Cricetulus griseus: one gene and its partners. The protein of the gene in region 4 interacts with the protein of the main gene of each other region in a biochemical or structural test. Links are inferred from orthologs where the notes say so. Each region holds a gene or a part of one and is shown on either strand. Other genes may lie near its edges. The genes, in order: Irf7, Peli1, Irak4 and Irak1.

Evidence for each region.
Region 1: the proteins of Irak1 (region 4) and Irf7 form a complex in vitro, tested with the Homo sapiens proteins (2 studies listed by BioGRID, with this or other methods). The link is inferred for Cricetulus griseus from reciprocal best matches to the Homo sapiens genes IRAK1 and IRF7.
Region 2: of the proteins of Irak1 (region 4) and Peli1, one has a biochemical effect on the other in vitro, tested with the Homo sapiens proteins (5 studies listed by BioGRID and IntAct, with this or other methods). The link is inferred for Cricetulus griseus from reciprocal best matches to the Homo sapiens genes IRAK1 and PELI1.
Region 3: of the proteins of Irak1 (region 4) and Irak4, one has a biochemical effect on the other in vitro, tested with the Homo sapiens proteins (2 studies listed by BioGRID). The link is inferred for Cricetulus griseus from reciprocal best matches to the Homo sapiens genes IRAK1 and IRAK4.

Annotation. Positions count from the first base shown.
Region 1 is NC_048596.1:59,919,238-59,924,264, reverse strand, and holds Irf7 (interferon regulatory factor 7), read right to left. Parts: upstream 3,357-5,027; 5' UTR 3,241-3,356; intron 2,890-3,240; 5' UTR 2,510-2,889; coding exon 2,496-2,509; intron 2,412-2,495; coding exon 2,249-2,411; intron 2,162-2,248; coding exon 1,954-2,161; intron 1,660-1,953; coding exon 1,601-1,659; intron 1,527-1,600; coding exon 1,364-1,526; intron 1,185-1,363; coding exon 1,089-1,184; intron 863-1,088; coding exon 473-862; intron 389-472; coding exon 270-388; intron 199-269; coding exon 49-198; 3' UTR 3-48; downstream 1-2.
Region 2 is NW_023276807.1:85,381,304-85,384,380, forward strand, and holds part of Peli1 (E3 ubiquitin-protein ligase pellino homolog 1), read right to left. Parts: intron 2,354-3,077; coding exon 2,156-2,353; intron 2,071-2,155; coding exon 1,882-2,070; intron 1,315-1,881; coding exon 748-1,314; 3' UTR 1-747. UniProt on the Homo sapiens protein: E3 ubiquitin ligase catalyzing the covalent attachment of ubiquitin moieties onto substrate proteins. Involved in the TLR and IL-1 signaling pathways via interaction with the complex containing IRAK kinases and TRAF6.
Region 3 is NC_048595.1:391,051,044-391,055,438, reverse strand, and holds the end of Irak4 (interleukin-1 receptor-associated kinase 4), read right to left. Parts: intron 4,199-4,395; coding exon 4,136-4,198; intron 1,808-4,135; coding exon 1,649-1,807; intron 1,543-1,648; coding exon 1,510-1,542; 3' UTR 698-1,509; downstream 1-697.
Region 4 is NC_048604.1:1,719,313-1,724,197, reverse strand, and holds the start of Irak1 (interleukin-1 receptor-associated kinase 1), read right to left. Parts: upstream 3,229-4,885; coding exon 3,189-3,228; intron 2,619-3,188; coding exon 2,520-2,618; intron 2,459-2,519; coding exon 2,120-2,458; intron 2,044-2,119; coding exon 1,876-2,043; intron 1,388-1,875; coding exon 1,256-1,387; intron 1,143-1,255; coding exon 1,039-1,142; intron 889-1,038; coding exon 700-888; intron 362-699; coding exon 297-361; intron 1-296.

The DNA of each region.
Region 1 (5,027 bases), on a different chromosome or scaffold from region 4:
CACTGCTTGTAGACTCTCTTTATTGTGAGTTACAGTTCTGGGCTAGGCTCACTGACCCAGCTCCATGAGGAAGTGCTCAATGTCGTCGTAGAGACTGTTGGTGCTAGACAGGCACAGGCCGAGACTGCTGCTGTCCAGGGAGGACACACCCTCACGCTGCACTCTTTCCAGGTATGCTTTGCATAGCCATGGCTCCAACTGTGGGAAGAACATGTTAGGGCCACACCCAGCAGCTCACCCCCACCTGTACTTGCCCACCCAGACTCTACCTTGACCAGGATCAGGCTCTTCTCCTTGGGCCTCCCTGCTGACAAGTCTTGCCCAAAACCCAGGTAGATGGTGTAGTGTGGTGATCCTTGTCGCCTCCGGGCCTGAAACTCTTCCACTTCTATTAGGAGGTATCTCTGGTGAGCAGTTAAGAGAAGGCCCAGGGACCCACAAGGACAGCACCCCTAACAGGCACCTCACTGACCTTGGAAGAAAGTGCTGAAGTTGAAGATTGGGGTAGGGCAGTTGCGCTCCAAGAGCTGGGCTGGAGTGGAGGAACTGGTGGAGCCCATGGGGCTGCCCACCTCCCAGTACACCTTGCACTTGCCCATGCGCAGGGCCCACAGTGACAGCCCCTGCACCTCCAGCTGAAGGCCTGGAGACACATGCTGTAGAAGTGTTTCTGTGTAATGCAGCTGCTTCTGATCCGGGAGCTCAGCAGGGCTGGGAAAAATCACTGGCTGGGGCTCTGAGGTTCTTATCGCTGAGCTCATGGGGCTGTACAGGAACACGCACCTGGGGTGCCCCACCATTGCCTGTAGCACTGTGCGGCCCTTGTACATGATGGTCACATCCAGGTACCCTAGATTGCGCTCTGTGTACAGACCAAGCTATGAGTGGTGGGTATGGGTGGGGCACTTTGTCCCACCCCCTAGGACCCTTTCACCTCCCACTGGAGGTTACATGAGGGGTGAGTGAGTGATGCAGTGCTCTGCGGGGGGGGGGCGGGGGGGGGGGTGGAGGGTAATAGATGTGTGCTGGGGAAGACCTGTGCTAGCACCACAGCTCTATCCCACACCAACAGGTTCACAAGTCCTTACCGCTTATCAGAGCTGGGTGTTGAAGCCTCGGGCTGGGGACAGCTTCCACCTGCCATGTTGCATGAGGATCCTCAGAAGCATGTTCCTGCTCCTGGCCTGAGGACAAATTGAAGCTGCCTGTCCATCTTGCCCATCGTGGTGTGCTAGCTTCCCCACTCCTGTCATGCTGGCATCCTTATCTTTCCTCCTGTCCCCAAGGACTCTCATACAGCCTGGGGCAGGTGGGGGTTCTCTAGTTTAGCCCCAGCTCAGTAACCGTTCTTGCCGACACTCACCAGGATCCTGTGATGGGACTGAGTCAGATCCCAGTAGGTGGTTATCCAGGAGGCTGTACTGCAGAACCTGAAGCAAGAGGTCCCCAGCATCACCAGAAAGCAGAGGGCTTGGGGTTTGGAGCCCAGCATTTCCTCTTGCAGAGAATGGTCCCAAGGACACACCCTGTAAGGAAAAGCATAGTGGTAGGTAGGCAGCTGTTCATCCCTCCCACTTAGGAAGAGCCAATTAGACTGTACCTGTGTAGGTAAGGCATTGCTGAGGGTCTCTTCTTCCCTATTTTCCATGGCGGGGCCTTCTGAAGGAGAGGGGGAATTTGGATCTGAGACTGACCTGCAACCTAGTTATGATGCTTGAGTAGTTCCAAAAGTTCTCTTCCCTGTACCCTTGGGCTGAGCTTACTCAGCCCAAGGCTCTGATTCGGGAGGAAACGTGCTGCACCCCAACCCCATACACCTTAGAAAGAGAGCAACTGGGAGTACAATCAAACCTTTACCCAACCAGTTTTAAAAACCACAAATCCAGCCAGGAAGCCACCAAGACAACAGTCCATGTACCTCCTTGACCCATTCCTATTTATGGCACCCCTTACCAGTGCATCCAAGCTCCGGGTTAAGTCTATACACCTTGTGGGGGTCAACAGGGTCCCCTGAATTGTCTTGATGCAAGATAAAGCGCCCTGTGCTGTGGAGTGCACAGCGGAAGTTGGTTTTCCAGCCTGCTCGCTCAGCAGCCTCAGCTTCTGGGGGTGGCAGGTTACCTCCACTAGGTGGCCACCTTCCTCTGGCCACAGCCCAGGCCTGAAGGAGAGGACAGAGAACATGGATTGAGGATGGATTCCCTGGGAGTTGCGGCAGATTTGTATAGCGGGCTGGATTGGATACCACCTTGAAGATACGTGCATCAGCTTCATCCAGATCCCTGCGACCAAAATGCTTCCAGGGCACACGGAAGACTGTGTGAGCGTCGTCCAGCCACCGAAGGCCCTCATACTGGCCGCTACTGACCTCACCCAGTAGCCACTCTCCGAAGAGCATGCGCTGGGGCCCCCTGCAAGCAGGGCAGCAACGCTATGACCAGGACCAAGGGCAAGGCATACAGGAACTGACACAACCTGGGTGGGCATGTTCTCACCTCTCTGTGGCCATTGCTCCCTTGGAAGAATCAAGAGTAGGTCCTACTCTGTGATGTGTTGTTGTCACTGGAGCAATCAGGAGGTAAGAGTCCCTTGGGTGTCACTAAAGTTTCAGGGTGTAGCCACAGATAGTGTGGCCCAGTGTCACAAATGTGATTATGTTTGTTGGTCTCAGGTGGAAATTTAAGTGTCACAAATGTGACCCAGGTGTAGGGTACTGAGGGTCACAGATGAGGTTTGAGAACTTGTAGCCACCTAGGTTCCAAACCTAAGTGTGGATTCCTCTTGCCAGGGTGGCTATAGATGTGACTACAGATGTAGCGGGAACGCACACGTGAAGTCACAGGTGTTGATCCAGCGTCCAAGCCTGGATCAGCTGTCGCAGGCTGGACCCTGCAAAGACAGGATGGAAAAAGGGGCGGGCCCAAGCGAGTAAAGCGAAACTGCATCCCGGGAAAATGAAACCTAAATAGCCCGAACAGCTCTCGGGCAGCCGCGGGCTTCCCTGTGTCTCAATGGCTACGGGTGCCGCAGTCCTCGACCTCCACCCTATCCTTATACAGATCCCAACCCCACCTGCAGATCTTCTGATGGCAGATCCCGCCGGGCCCTCTGCCCTCCTGTGTCCCTGATCCTCTACACTTCCCTTCCTCGATCGTTCCCTACTCCGTGGAGAGGACAAGAATGCCCCCTCCTGTGGCACAAGCTCGCTCCCTCCCTGCGTGGGCTAAGGGTCCCGCATACCTGGTGCCGGAGCCGCCGGGACGGTTTTATCTCAGTGAGAAGGACGCGGCCAGTACTTTTATAGGACCCGGGTCAGGGGCGGGGCGGAGTGCAGCTGGGTGTGGCCTAAGGGCTCCTGACGCCATTGGGGTATCACGTGCCGGGGGCACTCCACTCTCAGAATCACAGTCGCCCAAGTCCTTCATAGATTCAGTGAGAAAGGCTGACCCTGCTTTGGACAGCACCGCCAAGCCTCGGAGGTTCAGTGGGAGGAGTGGCAGCCTAGTCTACCCGCCTGGCTGCCCAGGTGGGAGAGTGGGAAAAGTCTTTCCCTCTAAACCTCCTCAGGAAAACACGGCAGGAGAAGGCGGGGTATCTCAAACAAAGTCAGCAGCTTTTGTTTTGTTTAACTCTCAGTAAAGTATTGGGAAGTGTAGTCTAAAGAGCGGCTTCACATTGAGAATGATACAAGTAAGAATATTTCAGCGGGTGGTGGCGCACGCCTTTAATTCCAGCACTTGATAGGCAGAGGCAGGCGGAATCTCTGAGTTCGAGAACAGCTTGTTCTACAAAGCTACACAGTGATACCCTGTCTCAAAAAACCAAACACACACACACACACACACACACACACACACACACACACACACACACACACAAAAGAAGAATATTCCAAAGCCGATACTTGTAATACCATCTCAGGACCAATCCTTCTGGGTTAAAGAGTAAGATCCTGTCTCAAAATGTAAAATATAACTACAGATTAGTGTTGCATCCAGCCTTCATTACAGAAGCTTCTAATTGCAATGAGCAGAATCCTGTAACTGGCCCAAGAGCAGAGAATAAGTGATGGTGGAGTGTTCATCCCGAAGGAGACATCTCTACCACCCCCTCCAAGGCATCTCCCAAAAGAGGGTAGAAAGGGCCAGAGGATGGAGAGATGTGCAAAAGGAGATGTCTTCTGAGCATGACATAGCCATTGCTGTCATGAGCTCACTGCAGCTATCCACACAGGACCTCCATAAGATTGGTCTCATTAACAGTTCATCATGGATATGGGATGGGCCCAGGCCCCTCCCCCACTAGTGGCAACCTTTAAGGTAGGGGGTGTCGTTTATCCGGTGGTAATTTGTCCTTGTTCTAGCTGGATGGAGAAAGTAATTAAACTCAGAGGGCTGCTCAGAAAAGATGAGAGTAGGGGGAGACTTGTTGAGAAGGTTTCCAACGGGGCGGCAGGGGGGGGGCGCTGAGAGAAGGAAATGGGCCATGAAAACCACCAGTTTAAATGAAACCAAAAAATACATTGTATAAACGGATAAAGCTGTCATTTTTTTTAAATATTCAAATACTGTTAAGAAATAGAAACTTCTGGAAAGATATTCGGGTTGATTTTTCATTAGGAAATATGTCATGACTGCTCTGCTGGAAGAACCCAGATTATGATGTTACCCCCCCCCCCAAACAGCCCCAGAGAGCCGTGTGTAACCTCCGTCTACTGACATGACCTGCAGGCCCCTGTTTCTCATAGGCGAAGTTTCTGTGTCGGGCAGAGTGCATTGTTCATTGCCTGAACAGCCTTTTTATTGGTTTGGGTTCGTTTTGTTTTTTTGAGAAAGGTTTTCTCTACAAAGCCTTGACTGCCCTGGAACTCACTCTTGTAGACCCGGCTGGCCTCAAGTTCACAGAGATCCCCCTGCCTCTGCTACCCGAATGCTGACTTTAAATGCATGTGCCAGACTTTTGAACCAGGTTGTGACCCTCAGGAAGGTCCCAGAGACCACCCTCTCCCAAATGAACGTGTATGTGGC
Region 2 (3,077 bases), on a different chromosome or scaffold from region 4:
TTCAAAGGAGCATATAAAATGTCTCTTAGCATTAGCTTTTGTTATAGTACTACACTTGAGAGAAACATTAAGGAAAAAAATGTTTTCCGATTAACTTCAATGTGGTTAAAAAACAAACACCTCTTAGACAATGGTAATTAATGTGAATCTGGTTTTATGAAATACTCTAATTCATCAAATTCCCTACTTATACAGGCCTGGGGGAAGGAAGATCTCTTGTCTTTCTCCTTAACTTTGCAAATCCTTGAGCTATGTGCCCACTAAACTACCATTCACACCCAAAGTGTGTGACACCATCATTACCATGCTACTCTATCACGACATTCTAAGGTATTTTCTATGATAAAGATAAATAGAAAAAAATTAATATACATGTTGCTATATTTTACAATGTTTGCAACAAATTGTAAACTAACGTAGTTTGAACCAACAAACCCTCAGTTATACAGAACAACTCAACACTGAGTATGGGTGGTGATTCAAAACACTAAAACGAAGGCATCAAATTAGACTATGTCTTTTTCTCCTCAAAATATATTTTCAAAACTCAGAATTCAGAAGTCTGGAACTTTCAAAATTTCCTTTGCTTGATTTTCTCAGATTTTTTTCAGAAATTGCTATTATAAATATTTAAAAAATTCTTCATCTTAATGCAATGACCAGAGCAGAGAAACTTACGTGGACAACTGGTTGGAATACCCAACTCACTTAGCTTATAAACTTATAATGCAGTCCTAGAGACAGCTGTTAGTCTAGAGGTCCTTGGAAAATAAGTCTGATATAGCCTTGTTCACCAGCCAACTGATGTGCACAAAAGGGACAGGCTGCGTGAAAAGTGTGAGTACCATGAGGAAGTGGGATCTGTGACCAATAGGCCGTTGTCTTTTCTGAACACACGTGCCCACAAGGGCTAAAGGCATGGGTGGGAGGGCCGGCGTCCACATAAAATCCAGCTTCACATCCAAGCCACAGAGGGACATAGGGACCAACAGACCTACACATAGGACATTCACGATCTTTTCCGTCACGTTCTTCTTTGTTTCCCCAGTTATGATAACCATGAACATGGCCGCAGTTTAGATATACCCACGGTTGTTTTTCATCTACAACGTCTTTCCTCTTCATACTGGGAAAGGCTAGTGTGTTGAACCCTACAGGGCACTGAGGTCGGGCTGCATTGATTTCCTGTCTTAAAGCTTCTAAGTGCTTCACAGTAGGAGTGTGGGAAAGGCCTTCCGCAGTACGCCAAAGCAAGGTTGCACCACAAAGGTCAATTAAGGAGCCATCTTGTAGCTGATTGGTTTCGATTTCCACCTGAAGGAGAAAAGAATCAAAACCGTATTTACCATTGTGTTTACACTAGGTCTTCAGTGAGTCCTAATAAGACAGAGAACCTTCCAGGATTACCTGCTAGACTTAAGGAAGTTTCTATTTGTGTGTAATGTGGAAGTAGAAATTTTAGAAGTTTGAAAAATGCTAAATTTGAAAATCAACAATAACACATTGAATAGCAACTTCTGTCTTTCAAGCCAAAAGACAACTTATGATTTAATTATCTGGCTAATCAACAAACTTAGTTATTTTTAATTAGTTAAGTATAGTCAAAGATATGTACAAAAAAATAGATGCTTAACCTTTTCTAGCTGAAACAAACACCATCCTCTAGAATTAGTGTTTGGAGGTCAGTGTTTGATGGTCTTAGTTTTTGTGTGTCAGGAATATGTCTAAGAGCTGCAAAAACCAATCAACTGACAATCTCTCTCTCTCTCTCTCTCTCTCTCTCTCTCTCTCTCTCTCTCTCTCTCTACTTCTCTCTCTCTCTCTCTCCAGTTCAACTTACCCTATGTTTATTGTTGTAAAAAGAAGCTACACAGTACTTACCATCTTTCCTCTCTGTTGAGCTGATCTGGTTTCTCGAAGACTGAACACATTCCCACAAACTGATATTTCTCTCCATATTCCAGGCTTGGAGTCTTCTGTGAACCCATTTCGTGGATGCATCACAAGAACACCATTAGTGGTCAAGCCATCCATCTGCCCATCAGATGTCTTCCATTTGGCAGCTTTTTCCTATAAAAATAGTGAGTTTCTACTTATGTGCAATTTGGAAATAGAAATTGTATAAAAGAATACATTAGGAAAAAAGGCTTTTTACCCCAAGAAAGATGTTTTTTGATGAATCAAATCCTGCAGCATAAATCCGAGCTGTAAAGGGGGGATTGCGCTCACATATGATCCTACAGGCAAATCTTGAGATAGTGCTTTGTACTGACTGTGTGTCAGAATTACTCTGACTTCCAGGAACTGTGTCAGTTACTACAAAATCAATAGGACTTTCAGTTGACCGACCAATCTAAAGGGGAAAAAAAGAACATATGACTTCATTCAAAGACCACAGTAGAATCCATTAAGAAAGAGATACGGTAAAAGTATTAGGCCTCTGAAATTTCTAAATCTCACACTTAACAATACTTAACTATCTCCATCTACACCTTTGAAACCTAATCTGTCACACTGATACAGCAGTCACTTGGAGCATAGAATTAAGTGGGAACTACAATGGAATTTCCAAGATCCTTAGGGAATAAAGACTCTAATGTGATGAGGTTCTTAGATGGCCTTAGGCTTTAACCCTTTTAAGGTAGAAATATATCTACCATATACTACCCCACCTTAACAGAATACACTGAAGGTGAGTAAATCTTTTATGACAACTCTAGAACATCATTGAAATAAAGCTAACCTGCTGCTGTGTTCCCAAGCTGTACACAAACACTGATCCTCACTGATGGCTGTAGATACAGCCTTGCTCTGAGTCTCTGAAACAGATCTCCACCTCTTTGCATTAGGTTATTAGCAGCTGTCAGTTTTTGCTTTTGGTTGTGCTTGTTTTTAGCAACAAGCCTCTCCTCCAACCACTTACTCTGATAAGGATTGAGACATCAAATAACTAAACTTCAAAGAACAGTACTTCAAAGGTACTTTGTTCCAGGGTCCCCAAGGAAGCACAGAAAAAGAATTCTCTATGTAGGCTGTAGGATTTGTCATACACCTTGGTATTTTTTTTTCATTTCTGA
Region 3 (4,395 bases), on a different chromosome or scaffold from region 4:
CTCCACCTGCAGGTGGAGTAACACTGTCTTGTTTACATGTCTTTTCACTCAAGGCAGGAGCAAAGCAATCACTACTACAGCAAGTGTCTTAGTTAGGGTTTCTGTTGCTGTGAGGAGAAACACCTTGACCCAAAAGCAAGTTGTGAAGGAAAGGGTTTATTTATTAGGCTTACACTTCATCATTGCTGTTCATCACCGAGGGAAGTCAGGACAGGAACTCAAACAGGGCTGGAACCTGGAGACAGAAGCTGATGTAGAGGCCATGGAGGTGAGCTGCTTACTGCCCAACCCATCTTCTTATAGAACCCAGGACCAGAAGCCCAGGCACCGCACCATCCACCATGGGCTGAGGCCTTCCCCATTGATCACTAAATGAGAAAATGCCTTACAGCTGGATCTCATGGAGGCATTTCCTCAACTGAGGATCCTTCCTCTCTGATGACACTAGCTTGTGTCAAGTTGACACACAAAACCACCCAGTAGAGCAAGAGAGCCTGCCATTACTGTCACATGGGAAAGGATGACATCAGGATGGCCCCCCTTGGGTGCTCTACCCTCAGATAGCTTAGCTCCAGTTGCTGTCATATTGCCCACAGCAATACAAGTAACACCTCTAAGCTCATCATTGGTTCTACATTGCCCCACATAAAAGTACCAACAGTGTGAATTTTTCTTAGGAGAGACAAGTGAACATCTATTCATTCAAATTAGGACACCAATGACAGACTGAACAATTAAGTCCACCCCTGTCTACCTTGATGACCCAATGAGTTTAATTAGGATTACAGGAACAGTGTTGGGGAATACTTACAGAAGTTTAGGAAGAGTTATTTATAGGACCACAGAGTTCATTAACAACAACAACAAAAAAGCCAAAAACTGAGGGCTTAGGGTAGCTAAGAGCTGGACCAGAGCTTTACAGGAGATTAGTGGAACCTGCTGAGTTCAAACCAGAGTCTCTGGCTGGATGGTGGTGGCACGGGGCTTTAATTCTAGTCCTCTGGGAGGCAGAGGCAGAGGCAGAGTTGAAGGCCAGCCTAGTCTCCAGAGAAAGAGAGTTCCAGGACGTCTAGGGCTACACAGAAACCAACAACAACAACAAACCCCTAAAACTCTACAGTGGAGTGCTGTTTTCCTGAATCTTGTAGTTGCTGTAGTTTGGTGATGTTGCCATGGAAACGAGCTCCATACAAAGTAGGTGGGCCAAGTGGTGCCACACTACTCTCACTTTTGCAGTGTGTGGACACATCCATTAATTCGCCAGTATACACTGTGCCACGCTGCCTTGTTAAAGATAAAGAAATTTAAGAAACCAAACCAAGCAAAAAACAGGCTGATGATGTAGCTCAGTGACGAAGTGCTTGTTCAGTCTCCATGATCACAAGAAGTAAAAATAAAAGGGGGGTATGTGAGGAGGGAAGTGCTTATAGCGCTGTGTGTGTCCCTGTATGTACATATACATACATACATACATATATACATATATATATGAAGTCTATTTCATTAGTTTTAAGCAGATATCTCTTGTAGCAGCTGTTGAACCTTTCAAAAAGAAAGAACAAAAGAACATTACACCGATGCCTTGAAATGTATACTTAGTAAAGGGTAACGACCCCTCCAGGTGTGTGTATGGATATAAAAGTAGTACCTTCGTAATGTCTGGCCTCTTATTTTTCTTTTCATGCAGACACTGACTAGCTGCAGCATACATCGCTTCAACAGAAGCAGGGTCAGTATCATTCATCTTCTCATCGGTGTAATCTTCAATCGTCTTCTCTTCATCTTCAATCTCGTCTTTAATATCCAGCTATAAAATGGGCATTAGACCTTGGTTAAAAGCTTCAATACGAAAGAAATCAGAGTATAAATTTAAATTACTTAAATTCGTCTATTTTTGAAATGACCTGAACTCTTTCCTTACCATTTTTTATAACCTCCTTAGGACTTGAGGCCACACCGGACAAATGGTAGATAAGGAAATTACACACATGCACACATTACTGATTTACTACTCTTATTCCCATTTACTCCTACCCATATGCTTTATAATCCTTGTCTTTCTGTGATGAGCTAGCTGCTCGAATTTCTGTTGCAGCATTCGCCAGTTCAGAGTCATCAGCTTCGTGATCATTTTTGAAAATGCAATTTCACCTTCTGGACCCAGACACCATGTCCTTACCCACAGGAACTCAGGCTGGTAAATCAAAGAGAAAGGAGGACTGGGGGATGAATGAGGATGAGATGGTGCCTCGGGCTCAACGGTCTGTTGAGTGGTGGCCCCAGAAATGTGAGTATGTATGTCTACGTCCTGGCTCCTGGTGTCTGTAAATGTGACCTCATGTGGAAAAATGATTTTTGAAGATATCTGAAGTGAGAGGTTGTCTTGGGTGCAGTGGTCTGGATGGAATGTTCACCATGGGCTCCTTTGGTTTTCTATTGGTGGTGCTGTTTGGGTCGGCTTGGGAGCTGTGGCCTTGCTGGAGGAAGTGTGTCACTGGCAGCACTTTACATGCTCAATATCTCCCTGGCCTCCGAATTTCTAATGTCTATGTTTCTAATCCAACCCCACCCTAAACTTTGTCTGTGTCCATTTACCAACAGCTCAAATACGGCAACTCCATCTCAGGCTTCTCTCTTGACCTCCCATAACTGCTAGGACAGAGAACTTTATATTTCTGGTTAACATAAAATTTTACCTTTTGATTTGCCATTATAAAAATCTGAATACCATTAGGATATTCTCACAAATATCTTCCAATGTAAATATAGTACATATGCTATTTTAATAACTGCATTTCCAACAGACCATGGACATTTTTGTTTTGTGGCGGACATTTGTAACAATCTCACATACTACAGATTACTCAAATTAGTATTGGCACTAAGATTTTTGTTGTCCTTCTGAAGTCCTATTTTAATTATCTCTCTCTCTGTGTGCGTGTGCGTGTGCGTGTGTGTATGTTGGTATGTGTACAACTATGCAAGTGTCTGTGGAGATCAGAGGCCTCAGATCTGGAGCTGGGGTTACAGGCGGTAAGACACCTAACATGGGCCAGGTGGTGGTGGCGCATACCTTTAATCCCAGGGCTTGGGAGACAGAGGCAGGCGGGTCTCTGTGAATTTGAGACCAGCCTGGTCTACAAGAGCTAGTTCCAGGACAGCCTCCAAAGCCACAGAGAAACCCTGTCTCAAAACAAACAAAAAAGACACCTAACATGGGTGCTGGAAACTAAACTTGGGCCTTTAGAAAAGCAGTATGAGCTCTTGACTGCTGCCCCAACCATTTCTCCAGTCCTGGTATCATGACTGAACAAGCAAGTTACACCTTCTGATTCTCTGTTCCTAACTCTGGGATGTGACCTAGTATGTATCTATTATCTGAATGTTCGTACTGTTTTGCTCTATTAGGGCATATGAATAAATTTGGATAAAGGGAGTATAGTTGCTAATTTTGAGAAACACTTACGAAAGACATATATATGTATATATATTTTTAGAGACATATATACAAAGACACACATATATGTTTTTATGTGGATGAGTATCACATATATATTTTATGCATATATACATAAAGGTATATGTAAAGACATATGTATACATATATTAAAGTATATGGCATAATTTATCAAAAGTTCAGTTATCATTTAACTCATCTACTTATAAACTGTGAATCAAATGTTCAATATAAAAATTAGAAGGGTAGGAATGACAGTACAGGAGGGAAGTGCTTTAACTTTGTAAGTAAAATGCTCCACGATGAAATAGAGAGCCTTTACTGGCATTTATATTCTTACGGGATGTGAATGAAAACTAAGATTTTTCTTCCCTATGACCTAAAAATGGTCCCACCACCCAGGATCTGTACACTCTGGAGAGTAACAAACCACGGGCAAACTAGCTTTCTTCTCATTTGATACAAAGACATTGGAACAAGGAATATATAAATAATCTTTTCAGGCACACATCACATCTAGCAAGCCCAAGACTGTAAACACATCATGCACTTTTACTACGTCATGACACATAGCCAGACTTATGTCAGAAATGCCATTTCTATAAGCCATATTTACACACATGAATTTAAGATCACAAAGGCAAAAGCGGAAAAGACTGACAAAAATGAATTACTTACTAGTAATTGAGGCTCACGGTTTTCATCCACAGCTGCAAGCCCAGTGATTAGTTCTAATAAAACCTAGGAAGATAAAAGGATCCATTAGCAAAACACTGAAGACATCAATTAGGAATTAAAAAGGAGGGCAGGAGAGATGATGGCTCAGAGGTTAATAGCATTGACTGCTCTTCCAAAGGTCCTGAGTTCAATTCTCAGCAACCACAAGGTGGCTCACACCATTTATAGTAAGACCTGGTGCCCTCTTCTGGCCAGCAGGC
Region 4 (4,885 bases):
TGTAGACCAGGCTGGCCTTGAACTCACAGAGATCCACCTGCCTCTGCCTCCCGAGTGCTAGCATTAATGGCGTGTGCCACCGTTGGGCACAGTCCATGTTCTTTAGTTCTCTGGGCCCCACTACTTTTCATCAGGCTAGGCTGGATAAACAGCCTTTGATGTTCCCTCACCTGGGTCTGGCAAGGCCTTGAGGGCCCAAGGGAGCCAGGTCTTGTGCTGTGCAGTTCTAGAGACTGATGAGGCCCTTGTGTGGTTCTCTCCTTGTGCCCCCAGACAGGAGGACCCCCAAGGCTCACCTTGACAGCTGCTCCACCTCTGTTAGGAAGCTCTGTTTCACCACAGTCCACTCTAGGTCAGCCTCCTGCAGCCCCAGACATGGTGGGGTAAGAGGCGGGGAAAGTAGGCAGCATGAGCCAAGCTTGCCAGCTGTTTCCAGGCCCATAACAATGGAAGGTTTGGGGGTCCCTGTACTGGAATCAGAGGACTGAAGGAATTGCTTGGGGAGGCTGGAGGCAGGGGACTAAAGAAGTGAGGGCTGATGGAGGGAGGAACTGGACAAATACGAACTGAGTACAGTCCCCTGCCTCCACATTTATGTCTCTTAATAGGGCCTTGTTCTGTCCCCATGTGCATAATGTCATTTTTGCCATTCCTTTCCCTTTTGTGTCTTCCAGGTGACTACCCTACTGTTATACCTACCTCCTTCAGTCTCTTCACAGCATATGTGGTATTTCTCATTACTGCCCGGTACACACACCCAAAACCACCCTCTCCAATCCTCAGCTCTTCAGAGAAGTTGCAGGTGCCTTGGGAAATCTCACAGAGGGGCCAGCAAAATGGGGAGGTATGTGTCCTTTGGAGGCCAGACTCTGGGCTCCCTGGGCTTGGCTGTTGGAAGAGACCAAGGATCAGGTGAGGATCCTGCCTATTCCCTTTGATCCTGGCTGCAAAGTCCCTGGCTTGCTGTTGTGGGTTCACCAAAGGCTGAGTTTCTTCCTCCTTGTCTGGAATTTTCCCTGGGGGTTAAAGAACACTTACCTTGTCAAAGGAAGGGGCTGAAGATCGCAGTGGTGGCCTGAGGGAAGCCAGGATTGGAACTGGAAGGAGCTCTGCCTCAGAATAGGTCTGGGAGCCTGGAAAAGCTTCATAAAGATGCTAGTGAGAGGCAGAGACCAGCAGCAGTCTACAGCCATGTCAATAGTCATGGTGGCCTTTTCCTCAGGCCTATCAAACCCAACACCCATTTTCTTTTTACCTGGGGAGAGGAAGGTGGAGGCAGAGGACTGCAGTTTCTCTGGGCTCCAGACCTCGGCCTGGGAGCCTGCAGAGATGCTGCTGGGTCGTGGAGCAGCAGTGCTTGGGGGCAGAACAGGGGCAGGAGGGTGCCCTGTGATAACAAGGAAGGAAAGGAGGGTTGTGACTCAGGTCTGTCTCTGACTCTCTCTTTGTGTGTGTGTGTGTGTGTGTGTGTGTGTGTGTGTAGGGAGGGGTTCCCGTGTGTGTGTGTGTGTGTGTGTGTGTGTGTGTGTGTGTGTGTGTAGGGAGGGGTTCCCATGTTCCTGTGTGTGTGTGTGTGTGTGTGTGTGTGTGTGTGTGTGTGTGTGTGTGTAGGGAGGGGTTCCCATGTTCCCATATGGGTTTGTGTGTGTGTGTGTGTGTGTGTGTGTGTGTAGGGAGGGGTTCCCATATGGGTGTGTGTGTGTGTGTCTGTGTGTGTGTGTGTGTGTAGGGAGGGGTTCCCATGTTCCCATATGGGTGTGTGTGTGTGTGTGTGTGTGTAGGGAGGGGTTCCCATATGGTCCCATCTCGAGAGACTGTTCCCGTCACCTCCAGTGAATTCCCATCCCTAGGGTCCCTGGGGCCACGCTCGCTCACAGGCTGTGATGATGTCCCGTGCACGCAGCAGCTGTAGGTGCGTGAGGATGTGAACGAGGTCAGCCACGCGCGCGTTGCGGTTGATCCAGGGCCACAGGACGCTGGCTGTGCGCTGCTCGGCGCGCTCACACAGCCTCAGTTCTGTCTGGTCGCGTACAATCAAGGCCGCTGTGGGGCGGGGAACGTCAAGCTTTAGCAGCAGAAGCCCGGGTCCCCTGCCCCACGCCGGCCTGCCGTCACCCACCGAACTGGCACCAGTCGGCGGGCTCCAGGGCGTCCATCACTTTGTAGAAGCGGCACATAACCCAGGGTGGCACCTCGTACAAGAAGTGCTGGGCGCCAGGAACCGAAGGTTCCCCGGGGCCCGGCCCCCGGCCATGGCCGCCGCTGCCGCCGCCGCCGCCGCCGCCGGGCCGGGGCCTCACGGGGCCTCGGCGGGGCGGGGCCTGAGCCGGCCGGGTCCGTGGACACTGACTCACTTCCCTTCTAGCCGGCCTCGTGCGACGCCCAGCAGGGCGGAAGAGGCGGTGCTCAGGACCGCCGCCATCTTGCCTTCCGCGGCCTTCGGCCACACGGGGGCGTCCTGCGCCACCCTCAATCTAGGAAAGGCGCTCTACTAGGCTGCAGGGTGTCTCCCCCCTCACGCCGAAGAACCAAGGATTGTGATCCTACACGGAGGGTGGGCTTCCAGCAGTGGGAGCCGTCTGAATAGGACTGAACAGGATGAAGAACGATTTCCAGTTCTGGAGACAAAGGGCAAAGGAAAAACATGATGATCCACAAAGGCGATTTATGTAAAGCCTGGTGAAAACTCACCGAGAGGCTCCTTTCAGCTTTATTTGGAAGGCAGTGCAGAGTCGGCTGAGATGTTGGTAGGACAGGGTCAAATGTGGGTCACAAAACGGCTGACTCTAATCATCTGGTAGTAAGGACGGATGCCCAGAGAATGGTCTGGAAGATTGCACACCACGCCACCGCCTACCCTCCCACCCCACCCTGCCTCCAGGAACCCGCCAGCAAGCAGCTGGGCAACAAATGTTAAGAGCTTCACAGTATCTGCCCGTGCAGGCTCCTCGCTAGCTTGCCAGCCAACACATGTCTCTTAAAAGGGCCTTGCTCTGTCCCCGTGTGCATAATGTCCAGTTCTTGCCATCCCTTTCCCTTTTCTGTCACTTTTGGCTTAGTTTGCACTTCTTATGAGGACACCAGAGTCCAGCAGCTTTCCCTATTCTTTTCTAGAGCAGTTGTCAGTGACACCCTGAAGTCCTCTTCCCATGAGTCCACTACTCATAGCATTACCCAATACCACTTACCTGCATGAACTTGATGACTCTGATAGGGCTCACTGTTCATGTGGGCTTCCTTGGGCACAGATCACCAAATCAGTTTCTTACAGAAGACCTTCCCAAAATTCCCAAAGCCCTCCCATAGAGTCCCAGCTCTATATGGCTGTTTGGCAGATGGCATGGCCAGCTTCTGCCCACCCACCTGAATTTATATACAATAATAGCCTTAAGCCATTAACAACTCCATGATGTTGGGCTTGGTGGTGCATACCTTTAATCCCAGCAATTGGAAAACAAAGGCAGGTGGTGGATCTCTGAATTTGAGGTTAGCTTGGTCTAAATAGTGAGTTCCAGGTTAGCCAGGGATACAAAGTGAAACCCTGCCTCAAAAAGACCAAGACCACCCCCCAAAAAAACCCTTTTTAGATACCCTAAAAAGCACTTCTAATTCTGTCTCTGAAGTTATTTGCATATACCCCTGCTATAGCCCTTCTTGACAAGACTGAGCATAAAAAGCTGTGGGGAGCCAGGCAGTGGTGACACACGCCTTTAGTCACAGCACTTGGGATATAGGCAGGTGGATCTCTGTGAGTTCCAGAACAGCCAAGGCTACACAGAGAAACCCTGTTTTGAAACCTCACCCCCCCAAAAAAAAAAGCTGTGGGGGAAGCATCCCAAAACCCATCTAACTCTTCTCTTGGGCACATCTTGAGCTTGCTGGAGTTCCATACCTCTGAACTTTTCTAACTTCCCACTGCCTGAGGAAGAGCCACGGGTAGCAAGTTGGCCTTTCTTGTTTCTCCAGCTGAAAGCATACTTATAAAGCAATAGCTTTCTTCTAACTACAGTTTCTCCAACAGACCCTCTTGTCTATCAATCCTAACTGGAAAGGGTTCCCTCTCACTAGCCTGTCCTGTAAGAAACTTGTGTCCAGAAAAGTCTACACAAGGCACATGGCTGGCTCCTACAGTGGTCTCTTCTCTGAAACCACAGCCATTTTGGCCGCTCTTAAGATGAGGTCAAACTAGGTGTGGTAGTGCATGGTTGTAATCCCAGCCCTCCATAGGCAGAGGCAGGAAGATCACTGAAAGTTCAAGGTCAGTTTGGTTTACTATGCATAATAGTTCCAGGCCAGCCAAAGTTACATAGTGAGACCTTGTTATTAATAAAACAAAGCTGGGCATGGTGGCTCACACCTGTAATTCCATCACTTGGGAGGCTGAGGCAGATCATCCTATACACTCGGTTCCACTCCAGCCTGGACTAGAAGTTGGACCTTACCAAAGAAACAAAACAACCCAAGAGGCCAACCATATTCTGAGTCTCCAGTAGTTTCTCATGGGTCAGTCATTATTGAGATGCACTAACTCCACTATTCAAAATTATTGTGTGCATATACTAAGCTCTAGGGGAAGGGATTTGGTTCTTTTTAATGTACTAGGAACTATCAGTATCTGGTATAGCAGATGTTCCATGTCTACATGTTGAATCTTCAACCCTTTCGTTTAACATTTGAAGCCAGGACTTCAAGGAAGCTTTTAGTAGATGTGTCCACGATTTCATGTGACACACCATTATCCTCTCCTCAAGCTCAGATCAGCCTAAGGAGGGCAGATATAATGAGTGGGCAGCTACAGAAGTTCATATTCTTACATGAAGCCAATGACACAAGGGATCATTTTGGGCAGTTCCTCAGCATGCCCTAGCCTGGTCAGGAAGGCAGG